Linked DNA regions of Schizosaccharomyces pombe. The gene in region 2 interacts genetically with the main gene of each other region. Each region holds a gene or a part of one and is shown on either strand. Other genes may lie near its edges.

Evidence for each region.
Region 1: mutations in klp2 (region 2) and plt1 together harm fitness more than expected from each alone (negative genetic interaction), as found in Schizosaccharomyces pombe (one large-scale study listed by BioGRID).

Annotation. Positions count from the first base shown.
Region 1 is NC_003423.3:3,385,687-3,391,057, reverse strand, and holds plt1 (phosphate transporter), read right to left. Parts: upstream 3,441-5,371; 5' UTR 3,359-3,440; coding exon 3,342-3,358; exon of another isoform or gene 3,296-3,341; coding exon 3,251-3,295; exon of another isoform or gene 3,196-3,250; coding exon 3,175-3,195; exon of another isoform or gene 3,027-3,174; coding exon 506-3,026; downstream 1-505. Other genes in the region: mitochondrial F1-FO ATP synthase peripheral stalk assembly factor Ina17, read right to left, coding at 1-90; diphthamide biosynthesis protein Dph1, read left to right, coding at 3,741-3,944, 4,033-5,139.
Region 2 is NC_003424.3:1,719,969-1,725,437, reverse strand, and holds klp2 (kinesin-14 family minus-end directed microtubule motor Klp2), read right to left. Parts: upstream 3,485-5,469; 5' UTR 3,444-3,484; coding exon 3,414-3,443; exon of another isoform or gene 3,369-3,413; coding exon 945-3,368; 3' UTR 536-944; downstream 1-535. Other genes in the region: gamma-glutamyltranspeptidase Ggt1, read right to left, coding at 4,050-5,469. UniProt on the Schizosaccharomyces pombe protein: Minus end-directed microtubule (MT) motor that is involved in spindle microtubule shortening, kinetochore capture, and polarization of cytoplasmic microtubules. During mitosis, promotes spindle microtubule shortening by depolymerization.

The DNA.
Region 1 (5,371 bases), on a different chromosome or scaffold from region 2:
TTCTTTTTGTTGACTATTAAATCTTTTCTGCTGAACTGGCACCTTTTTTACAGTCCATTTCGCAAAATTGATGGGCAATTTGCGTAACATTTTGAGACTATAGGTGATGGTTAATTATAACGTTCCCGCTGCACCATACACACTACAATCTATTTGAATGATGCATAATTTGGTTCATTTCTAATCAAGATCCAAGTTTCTACGAAAATTAGCAACTATTTTTCATATTCCTTAGGTTTTTGTGATTAGTTATTTGTTATTTTTTTTTGCCAGTCAATTTGAAACAAAGGAGAGATAAAATTTGTTTTGTATCGTATTATAAAGTGAACATATAAATACATTAAGATCCGTAGGAACACTAAGCTACCATAATTTTATCTTCGAATGCAATGATTTAAAATCTATTTAAGTAGAATTGACAAATATGAATGTGTTATGCAGCAGAACATGCTTCGACTCAAAAATTATAAAAAGAAAGATACAGTACCGTTTACAAATTAGGAGGTTAAAATCCAAGTGCTCGCATGATTGGTGTTCCAATTAATAGGAGAATCACGAAGGAAATTAGTGTGGCAGGAATACCAGCTTTTAAAAAGTCACTAACTTTCAAATATCTTTTGCCAGCTTCATTTTCCATCATGATAGCTGTCATATTAGGAAAACCACTGGTTGGCAAAGCCATAGCAAGACTACACATCATTCCCGAAGCCAAAACGAAAAGACGTGGATGAGGATCGGCAAGGCGACTTCCAACTTCATGGACAATGGGAAGTACCACCATTGCAGCTACTATATGAGAAATAAATGAAGAAACAACAAGAGTCAAAGCAGAAAAAATAAGCAGTACCCTAAATGTATTAAGGGAAGAAACAGCATTACCTATTTTAAGGGCAATAAGTTCTAAAAGGCCGGAAGAAGACACTACTTTTCCTAACGCAACACCTCCCATTGCCAAAACTATGACTGTCCACAAAAAATTATTAAAATCCTCCTTGGTTAACAAACCTGTTCCGAAGAATACAATGATTGGGACTAATGCAATAACACCCATATCACCAAACACCTCATCGAAGCGGCGTTCAAGGCACCAAAGGACTATAGTACCAATCGTAACAATGGAAATAAACCATTGGACACCAGTAAATGTATCCTTGGTGGAGCGAATTTTAGCTAAAGTGATGTGCTCATCTTTCAGTAATCCAAAAGACAACAGAAACCATATAGAAAATATACACAGTAACGATACAGGAATACTGACGGCAAACCATTCACCCCATCCCGCAGCGGGATCCATATTCTGTAGCGCAACAATATTTTGTGGGGATGAAATAGGCGAAGCAATACCTCCAACATTAGATGCCAAAGCAATACCCACAATTAGTATCTTTGCAAAATCGGACTCTGCTGGTAAATTTCTCAGAAGGGGCTGAATAATAGAAAAACACAACACTGGCGCAGCAACGTTGCTAATCCACATACTAGCAAACATGGCAACGAACATGTTTGTAAGAAGCACGCTTCTAGGCTTACGCCCTGCATGCGCTAAAATGGAAGTCGCCAACCTTTTAGCAATATGATATTTGCTTAGAGCAGCTGCAATGGTAAAACCTCCTAAAAGCAAAACTATAGTTGGATTCCACATCGAACTAAATATAACCTTTGTTGATTCCTTTCCAGAAAGAGGTGAACCGTTCTCATCTCTCAAAATTTTCAAAAACACAGTCATAAAAGGAACCAAAAACGAAGTAACGAACAAAGGAATAGCCTCCGTAGCCCATAATAAAGAAACCATTACTAACAAAGCCAAACAATTGTTCTGTTCCCTATTATCTATGACAGGAAAACTTAATAAGAGAATAAATATAACGATAATAGTAATTAAAGTTGCAATCGTGCTATTAAAGAAGCATCTTGGGATTCTAAAAACACCAAATTTAGTTTTGATTGTAAAATAGGGGGGCTGTTCTGATTCTTTCTCATCAGCTGCGACAGGCTTCAGTCCTGATAATCTCGCGGCCTGAGTACGACGCTCCATAGCCATCATTTCACGCCAAATAGTGTTCCTTTCCCATGCAACGTATTCACGAAGATGACCACGAAGGCGACGGATAGCCACAAATGTATCGCCTTGACAGCATAGCTTAGCATACCACTCTGCAACAATATTTAAACGCTTTGACAATGTTTTCCCAGTAGCAGGAAGGAAAGGGTAAGCTTGGTTGACGCGCTTCATGTACGATTCACGAAGGCTACTACCCAAAGTTTTATCATATTTTTTTAAGATTTTTGAAAAACCAGTATAATTAAGATGGACGTACGAAATCAAGTCATGAATTGAAACATACAACTGTGTCAGTTTTCGCTTTAAAGAAACGAAGTTTTCGTACGCAACAATATCAGATGGATATTGTTCAATAAGCAACCATCGATTGTTATTGTTGTTATCTTCGTCTTCATCTTCGTCCTCATCTTCATCATCATCATCATCATCTTCCTCCTCCACCTCATCATCATTGCCTTGTACCTCAGGTTGAGCTTCTGAATGTTGTTTTTTTGATAAACCGTTTTTAGAAGTATCGACATCATGAGGTTCAGACGGTTGAATAGCAGTAGATTCTGCTCTAGATATAGCAGGGGCCGCATAACCTCCATCACTAGTTTGCCCATTGAGATATATCTCACGGTTTGAAGAAGTAATGCGAGGCAATTCTTGGCTGCGGGCCATACGACCAGATTTCCTACTCGCTGAGCTCTTTTGTAATCGTTCAGGGGTAGGGTAATTAATGTTGTTTCCCTGACTCATATACTCATTCTCATAGGTTTCAAATTCGCCCTTAATTCTACCATACTGATCAGCAATTTCTTTTTCTTTAGGAGCATAAAATTCAACAATTCCTTGTAATTCCTTGTCTAAAGCAAACATAAAGCGATCATCGGGTGATCTTCTTTCGTGCTCTAACAGCCTAGTTTCTTCATCTGGAGCGCCTTGTTGTAATGTTATCTGTTCATGTTCCAATGAATAAATACTTAAAAATATATGTTAGCAAAATTCAAGTACAATTTTATTCTCCGGCTGTTAATCAGACATTATCCCAAATTTCGCAAGTATGAATTTGTCGGAATATAGGATATATCATAATAGCCAGTCGTAAGCTCGAGAATTTTCAAACATACAGCTTCTTAAGGTTCGAGTAACTAAGCACCGATTGTTAGCAAAAATCGGAAGTAATCCAACAGGTTGTTTACTTACGCAATGTAGCTTTCGGACCATTCCGGTACTGCATTAAATTGAAGACTAAAAAGTAATTAGAACAAGTCTTGTGAAAACTGATGCAACAAACCTATGACTGAATTTCATCTTGGATGACAGAGGTCATTTAACTTCAATTGTGACTAAAAACAGCTTTAGCTTATTCACGCAAATTAATTTGGAACAATCTAAAGGAGCGTTAGCCGTTCAAATTTCGTGGCCTATGATCGGAGGTGAAGCTGTATTCGTGGATCCAACCTCCGATAGAAATAGCGTAATATAACAACGTGTGTTAAATAATATAGCAAAGTGCAATGCTTTTTTACTTAGTAAATTATTTGGGATCCTATTGTATTTTAATTTAACAAACAAGCAATTTGCAGGGAAAAAGGATTTTTGGCATTCTATCAATTTAAATACATACATAGCATTGGTTACTTCTTGGGATTTCAAAGGGTTTTAGTAATAGACTTTATAATTTTAAAACACAATGGCGGAAGTGAAAAAATCAATTCCAAAACGTCGTTTTGTTGGCAAAAAAAATAGGAAGGAAAATAATTTGGATGGTTCTAATAGAGATGTTGAAAATGCTGCTCTCGTCACTATTAACTCCAAGAGGAGCGCTGGACGAGTAGCTACTCAAATCCCAGAGGATATATTAAACGATAAAGCAATTAATGAAGCTATAAAATTGGTAAGCTGCTTTTATTAGAGAAAGATGCCGTAAATTAGTTTCTTCTTTTCTCAAAAACATCAAAGCTTGGTCAGCTAACCTTTAATAGTTACCGCAAAATTACAATTTTGAAATTCACAAAACCATTTGGCATATTCGCTTACGAAAAGCAAAACGTGTTGCCTTGCAACTTCCCGAGGGGCTATTGATGTTTGGTTGTATATTGTCTGATATTTTTGAACAATTTTGCCAGGTCGAGACAATTGTGATGGGCGACGTTACATACGGTGCGTGTTGTATTGACGATTTTACAGCTAGGGCACTCGATTGCGATTTTTTAGTACACTATGGTCATTCTTGTCTTATACCTGTTGATCAAACGCCCATAAAGGTGCTATATGTTTTCGTGGATATAAAGATAGATTTGCAACATGTCGTATCATCTTTAAAACATAATCTACCCTCCAATTCTAGGTTAGCTTTGGTTGGAACTATCCAATTTGTTGGATCTCTCAACTCTATAAAAGACGCTTTGCAAATACAGGATGAAGACGGAAAGGGAGGTTTTTACGTTGTTATTCCACAAGCAAAGCCATTATCTCCTGGAGAGGCGTTGGGATGTACATCTCCCTATATTGAAAAAGGATCTGTAGATGCATTAATTTACATTGGTGACGGAAGATTCCATTTGGAATCTGTCATGATTGCTAATCCTGATTTGCCCGCATACCGCTATGATCCTTACTCACATAAGCTCTCTATTGAATCTTATGCTCATGAAGAAATGAAATCTATTCGGTATTCCGCCGTTGAGAAAGCTCGTACCGCTAAAAAGTTCGGTCTAATTCAAGGTACACTGGGTCGACAGGGGTCTCCTAAGGTACTCGAAAATTTAAAGAATACTTTAAGGAAAAATAATAAAGATTTCGTTTGCGTTTTAATGTCAGAAATTTTTCCTAGTAGATTGGGTCAATTCTCTGATATTGACGCGTGGATTCAGGTCGCTTGTCCAAGGCTTTCCATAGATTGGGGCTATGCATTTCCCGCTCCATTGTTGACACCATATGAAGCATCTGCTGCTTTTAATGTTGTTCCTTGGAAGGAAGTTTATCCTATGGACTTTTACGCTACCAATTCATTAGGTAATTGGACTCCAAATAATCCCGAAAATCGACCTCTGCCAAATCGCAAAAAAACCGGACCCGTTTCTTCTTAACGCTACTTGCCATTAATGGCACTAATACTTGTTATTTTTTAACCCTTATATTGTTCTTTATAGGTTTATTAAAATACCAATAGAATTCTCATCTGATAAATACAATATGTATTACATAAACTACTGCTTTAATATATTTATATTTAAACTATGCACCGGCAGGCGCGTCCCTCATTTTAAGGAAATTTATAAGTAACCAGCCCTACATGTTGTAAAGTAACGATTGAATGTG
Region 2 (5,469 bases):
ATTCAGTATTTGATAAACAAATGGAAAAGAATTGGACTATTGGCAAGATATAGAAAAATGCCACCTCAGTATTTACTGAAAAGGGATAGAAGCATTCAAATGAAAGAGAAAAAAAGGAAATGTATTCAAGATTGGCAGTGGAAAATTTATGGAAATTCCTATAATCCCACTAAGTGGATTAAGTAGCAATTAAGAAACCGAAATTAGTACAATTATTAAAGAAAATAAAGTATAATCTGTTAATTTTAGCTTATTCTATATTTCTTGGGTCAATCTGAAGAACATTCCGAAAGGAATAAAATATACAGTGGGTAGTAGAATTTCTAATATTTTTATTATCAAGAGAGAATTAAAGGAACTGCCAAGTTTGAGAAAAAAAAAATAGCTAGTAATATTATATTTTTGGATACTTGATCTTTTCTCCTAAATGTAATTCATCTGTGAAATTTAATTGCTCACCTTTGCTTCATCCAAAAGTCACTTGGAACAATTTTTGTAGTCAGTTACTTTCTAAGATTAACTATACTTTTGAACATACTTTATGAGATATGACTTCATTTTGAGCGAATTATAAACCACCGTACTAAGTAAGTTGGAATGTCATTAGGGTCTAGTCATAAAAGAAAATATTTGCTCAATACTATTATAGAAAACATAAAATATAATGGTAAAATTTGAAAACATTCAAAGGAAAGAACACATATAACCTAAAGAGCGTATTCGAATATATAAAAAAAAAGAGTGAGTTGGAAATGAACGCTTACTTGTATGTATACGTCCATTAAAACGATAATAGTTCTGACTTGTGGTTCTTTATAGGCCCATAAAAATTATTTTCAAAGTATACAAAAGAGAGCAAACAGATCTGTATATTTTACAAAAACGGAAAAGACAGCTCTCCTTATAAACAACAATCCTCAAGCCATCCTGTTGGTGCTTTCCGTTCATTTTGTGACTTTGCGTGCTGTGCCAATTTGAGTATTATTTACCTTTGTTGCAAATCTCAAACTGCATAATGTTTCGGGAACATGCTGTTTTAGTGGGGAAATATTGACAAACATGAGAGTTTTACTATTTCCTCCCAACGAATATTGTAACAAATTAGTCAGCTTGGAATTTCGATACGGAATGTACGTTCCTTCCTTTCCACTTCCCAAAGCATGTATTACATCTCCTAAACAACTTAAACTTTTGTTGATTGCCTGCGTTTCCTTCAAACGTTCACCCACACTTTGGCTACTCGAAAGTCTTTCGGATCCAGCCAGATCAATCAAATTAAGCGTACTTCTGCATGTTTCACCTGTCGTAGAATTGCTTCCATTCAAGTGTAGCATAAAAACTGAATGCGATCTTGAGGAATGTTCATTAGCATTGGTAGCCGCAACAGAACGGTTCTTCGAAGCTTGATCTAACAACCAGGTTACCTGCTCAGGTGTGTCTAACGGTTCGCTGGTTATATTGGTAATAGTCGTCCTTCCGGCCTTCGTGTCATGATATATCTCCAGTTTTTTCTTTCCCTTCTCTTCTTCATTTCCGGAGGCTAAAAGGTCAATAATGGTTTCATTGTATATTTCTAGAAATTGTCCTTCCATCCGATATTCCCAACCTCGTTCTTTCAAAGAAGTAGAGCGATTGTATATCATTCTTACAGATGAAGGGATCATTCCTGTATTTGAAGACATCGTATGCGTCTTGCCTGAACCTGTTTGACCGTAAGCGAATATACAAACATTATATCCGTCCATAGCACTTTGAATTAACTGTGACAGTTCATTAAATACATCCTCATTAGTCGTTTCAGGGGAAAATACACGATCGAAATTAAAGGCATACTGTTTTATCCCGTTCCCTGTTAACGAAGACCCTGGGGCTTGAGCAACAATCTCTATAGTACTAGCTTCGGAATTTTGATCAGGAAAAGCTATTTGTGCTGATTCTCCATCGCCAAGGGGAGGTCGCACTCGACAAAAAACGCGTATGTTACCTTTAAGTTCTTGAATGGTATTATGGAGTTTTCTTCTCAGAGTTTCCTCAGCTATGAGTTTCTCAACTAAACCGTCTCTCTCAACATTGGCAGATTTTAAAATGCCTTCTAGTTCTATAATCTTATTTTTCATAGTATAAACATCTTCTTCAAGTGTTTTGATAGTGCTTTCTAAAGCCCGATTTGTAGATTCAAGCTTCTGAACGTTGGCACTTTGTTGGTCCAACGAAGATTTCAGATTTTCCTTAACAACTGTTTCAGAAGCAAGTTCTCTTTGTAATTGTTCAATCTGCTGTTTCAAAGAATTATTTTCTTCCTGAAGCGGTTGAATTGCAGATTGCAGTCTTTTTTTTTCTAGATCATGCTTATTTTGGACACGTTGCATAGCCAGCGAAGCGCCCTCCTGAACTTTCTTTAATAAAGAATCCTTTTCCTCTTGTAGTCTGGAAATTTTGAGTTCATTTTCTGAAGTAAGCTCTTTAATCTTGTGTGAAAAGTGTTCTTCGGCAGACTGCAATTCATTTTTGTACTCCATGATTAAACTATTTGCTTTTTGTTCAATATTGGAAGCAAAATCCTGTAATTCTGCTTGATGCTGAAGCTCAGCTGTCTCCATCACCCGAGCATGGTTCTCTTCCAACATGGCCATGCGCTGATGATTTTCACTTTTCATTGAGTTTAACATTATCTCCAAACTCTCCATACCCTTTTGAGAAACGATTTTATTAGCCTCCGCCTCAGCTTTTTCTCTCAGAGCCACTGAAAATTGTTCTTGTAACTCCGATGTACGACTCCTCTCGACTTCTAATGATTCTTCAAGCATAGCAATTCTCTGTTCGTAAAATTTGTAATTAGCTGGTCTTTTTGAGGGTGAAGGAATAACTTTAGCCGATAATTGAGCATAAGCCATTTCCATACTCCTCAACCGGTCTTCTGTAGTCCTTAAGGCGCTGGCATTAACAGACTTTTCATCATTATAAGATTCCATACTTTCATCTGACATACTTCTCACATCATCGCTACTATTTAAACTGGATGAAACAGCACTGGCAGGTCTACCAAAATGAGAAGAAGCAGACACTGACCGACTTGAAATGGGATGTGCAGACTTGGGCATCCTGGGATTAGAGGACGCGGTAAAAGGCCTGGCTTTTTTTGCAAGACTAGAAGATTTAACCGAGGCTAAGCTTCCTGGTGGTAACATCTTACTGGGAAATTTAGCAGGTTTCAGTTGGTTAACTTCATTTTGCAATGATAACCGAGGTTTCAGAATATTTGATGAAGATGAATTAGTTTTAATAGTCGGAGGAGGTATATTAGACGTAAATTCTTTAGCAATTTCTCGACTTTGCGACAAAGAACTCGAGGACTGAGGTAGATGCGACTATAAGGAAAAAAATTAATAAATTACACTTAAATTTGTTCTTACAGTTAAACTTTTATGTCCTTCTTCTTCCATACTTTCTCCTTTTCCCCAAAAACATGTGGGTATTGTAAGGTGTTAGAGAAGTTGAGTTTCATAAGCTTAAATCAAAAGTTCACTATTCAACAATTTGTATGGTGGTATTCCATGGACCACGAAGGTCAAAAGCAAATATCCGATATTATGTGAATCTTTAATTCAATTTAATGATTTAGTATTAATTAACACAGTAAAGTATTTTTAATTAGTAAAGGAATATTTGCCATTCGTACATCGAAAGAAATATTTTACTGTTTTACGTTTAAAGTATGAAGATATATTATGTTACGGTTAGAATAAATTCGAAAGTTAAATGTAATTGTTCTTCGTTTTGCTAAAACTTTCTAAATCTAGGAAAGAATGTAATCTATCTAACTAACGAAGGTCCAATCATCACCATCATGTGCACAAATATGTAGACAGTGATCATTCATACGTTTTATGCTTTATAATATTTTTCTCTCATCCCAGCCACAAGCTAAAGATCAGTAAAAAGCACATAAAGATTGAGAATAAGTTAATAAACCTGATAAATTAATAACAACAAATAAAGGAAAATTTTGTGAGCGTCTAAGGAGTTTTTTTTAATAATTTAGTGAAATTTTAATAGGCAGCAGCAACAGCCTGTTTTCGGCTATCACTTAAACCGTACAATGTGCCGTTGGTGCGGAAAACAGCTTGAATTTCACTGAAAGGATATTGAACGGGGATTAAATCCACTATATGACCAAACTTTTCTAAAGCTCTAAGAACTTCAATTTCAACAGTTTCATCGATATAGACGATATTAGGCATTAGCTGATGATGAAATCTAGGACTCTCAACAGATTCTAACAATGACTTGCCCCATTTATATTTTTTAATAATTGTGTCTAACACAGCTGTCACGATTCGGCTGCCACCGCTACCACCAAGAACCATTTCAACTTCACCATTATATACCAAAATCGTAGGCACCGCGGAGCTTTGTGGTCGCTTACCAGGGGCAATAAAGTTGTATGGCGATGGACTCAAACCGAAAGCATTCACTATTCCTGGAGAAGCAAAATCGTCCATGTGATCATTCAGTATAATACCCGTTTCAGGTTCCAAAAGTTGTGAACCAAACATCAAATTGATAGAAGCTGTGAGTCCGACTGCCATATTGTCTTTGTCGATAACGGAAAGATGAGTAGTGCCGTGATCGTTAGGGAAATCGTATTCGGCCTTGTAGTGAGTAAAATCAAAAGTCCTCTCGTTAGAAATATTATTGCGAATTTCATCAGCATATTCCAAAGAAAGTAACTGTTCAACATGATCTGTATTATTGTAAAAAGTTGGGTCTGCTAATACAGTCCGTCCAGCGGACATCCATTTCATTGTTTCAATTAGATGGTGCACGCCAATATCCGTCATTTCACAACCAAGGATAGAAGTACCTTCACTTAAATCTACTTTTGAAAGAACATTTAAACCTAAAATCAAAGCCTCTCCACTACAAGGGGATCCACAAGTAATAACCTCACGATCATAGAAGTTACCATAAATAGGTTCCTCCACAACAACTGAAAAATTGGCCATATCCTCCATGGTTAGTATACCTCCTTGCTGTTGAACAAACTTTACAAGCCTTTCTGCAATTTTTCCTGTGTAAAACACTTCAGGACCAAACTTAGCTATTTCTTCGAGGGTAGACGCTAGAGCAGGCCGATAAAACTTTTCTCCAACGTGTAAAAAAACACCTTCTGGAGCAAATATTTTAGACCAATCTGGATGAGTCTTGAAATAGGAAAACTCGGGTCGTCTGATGCGAGACGCAAGTTCCTTGGGCATTGGCATTCCATCTCTCATAAGACGTATGGTTGGTTCAAACAACTTATGCCAAGGTAGAGAGCCATACATTTTCCAAGCACGCTCGTAGCCAGCAATTTCACCAGGGACGGCAACGGAAAGACCACCTACCTGTGACAGGGTAGAGTTACCATGAAACATATTTTTGCTGGCACCCGCTGGAGCAGTCTCGCGAAAGTTCAAGGAATGTGCT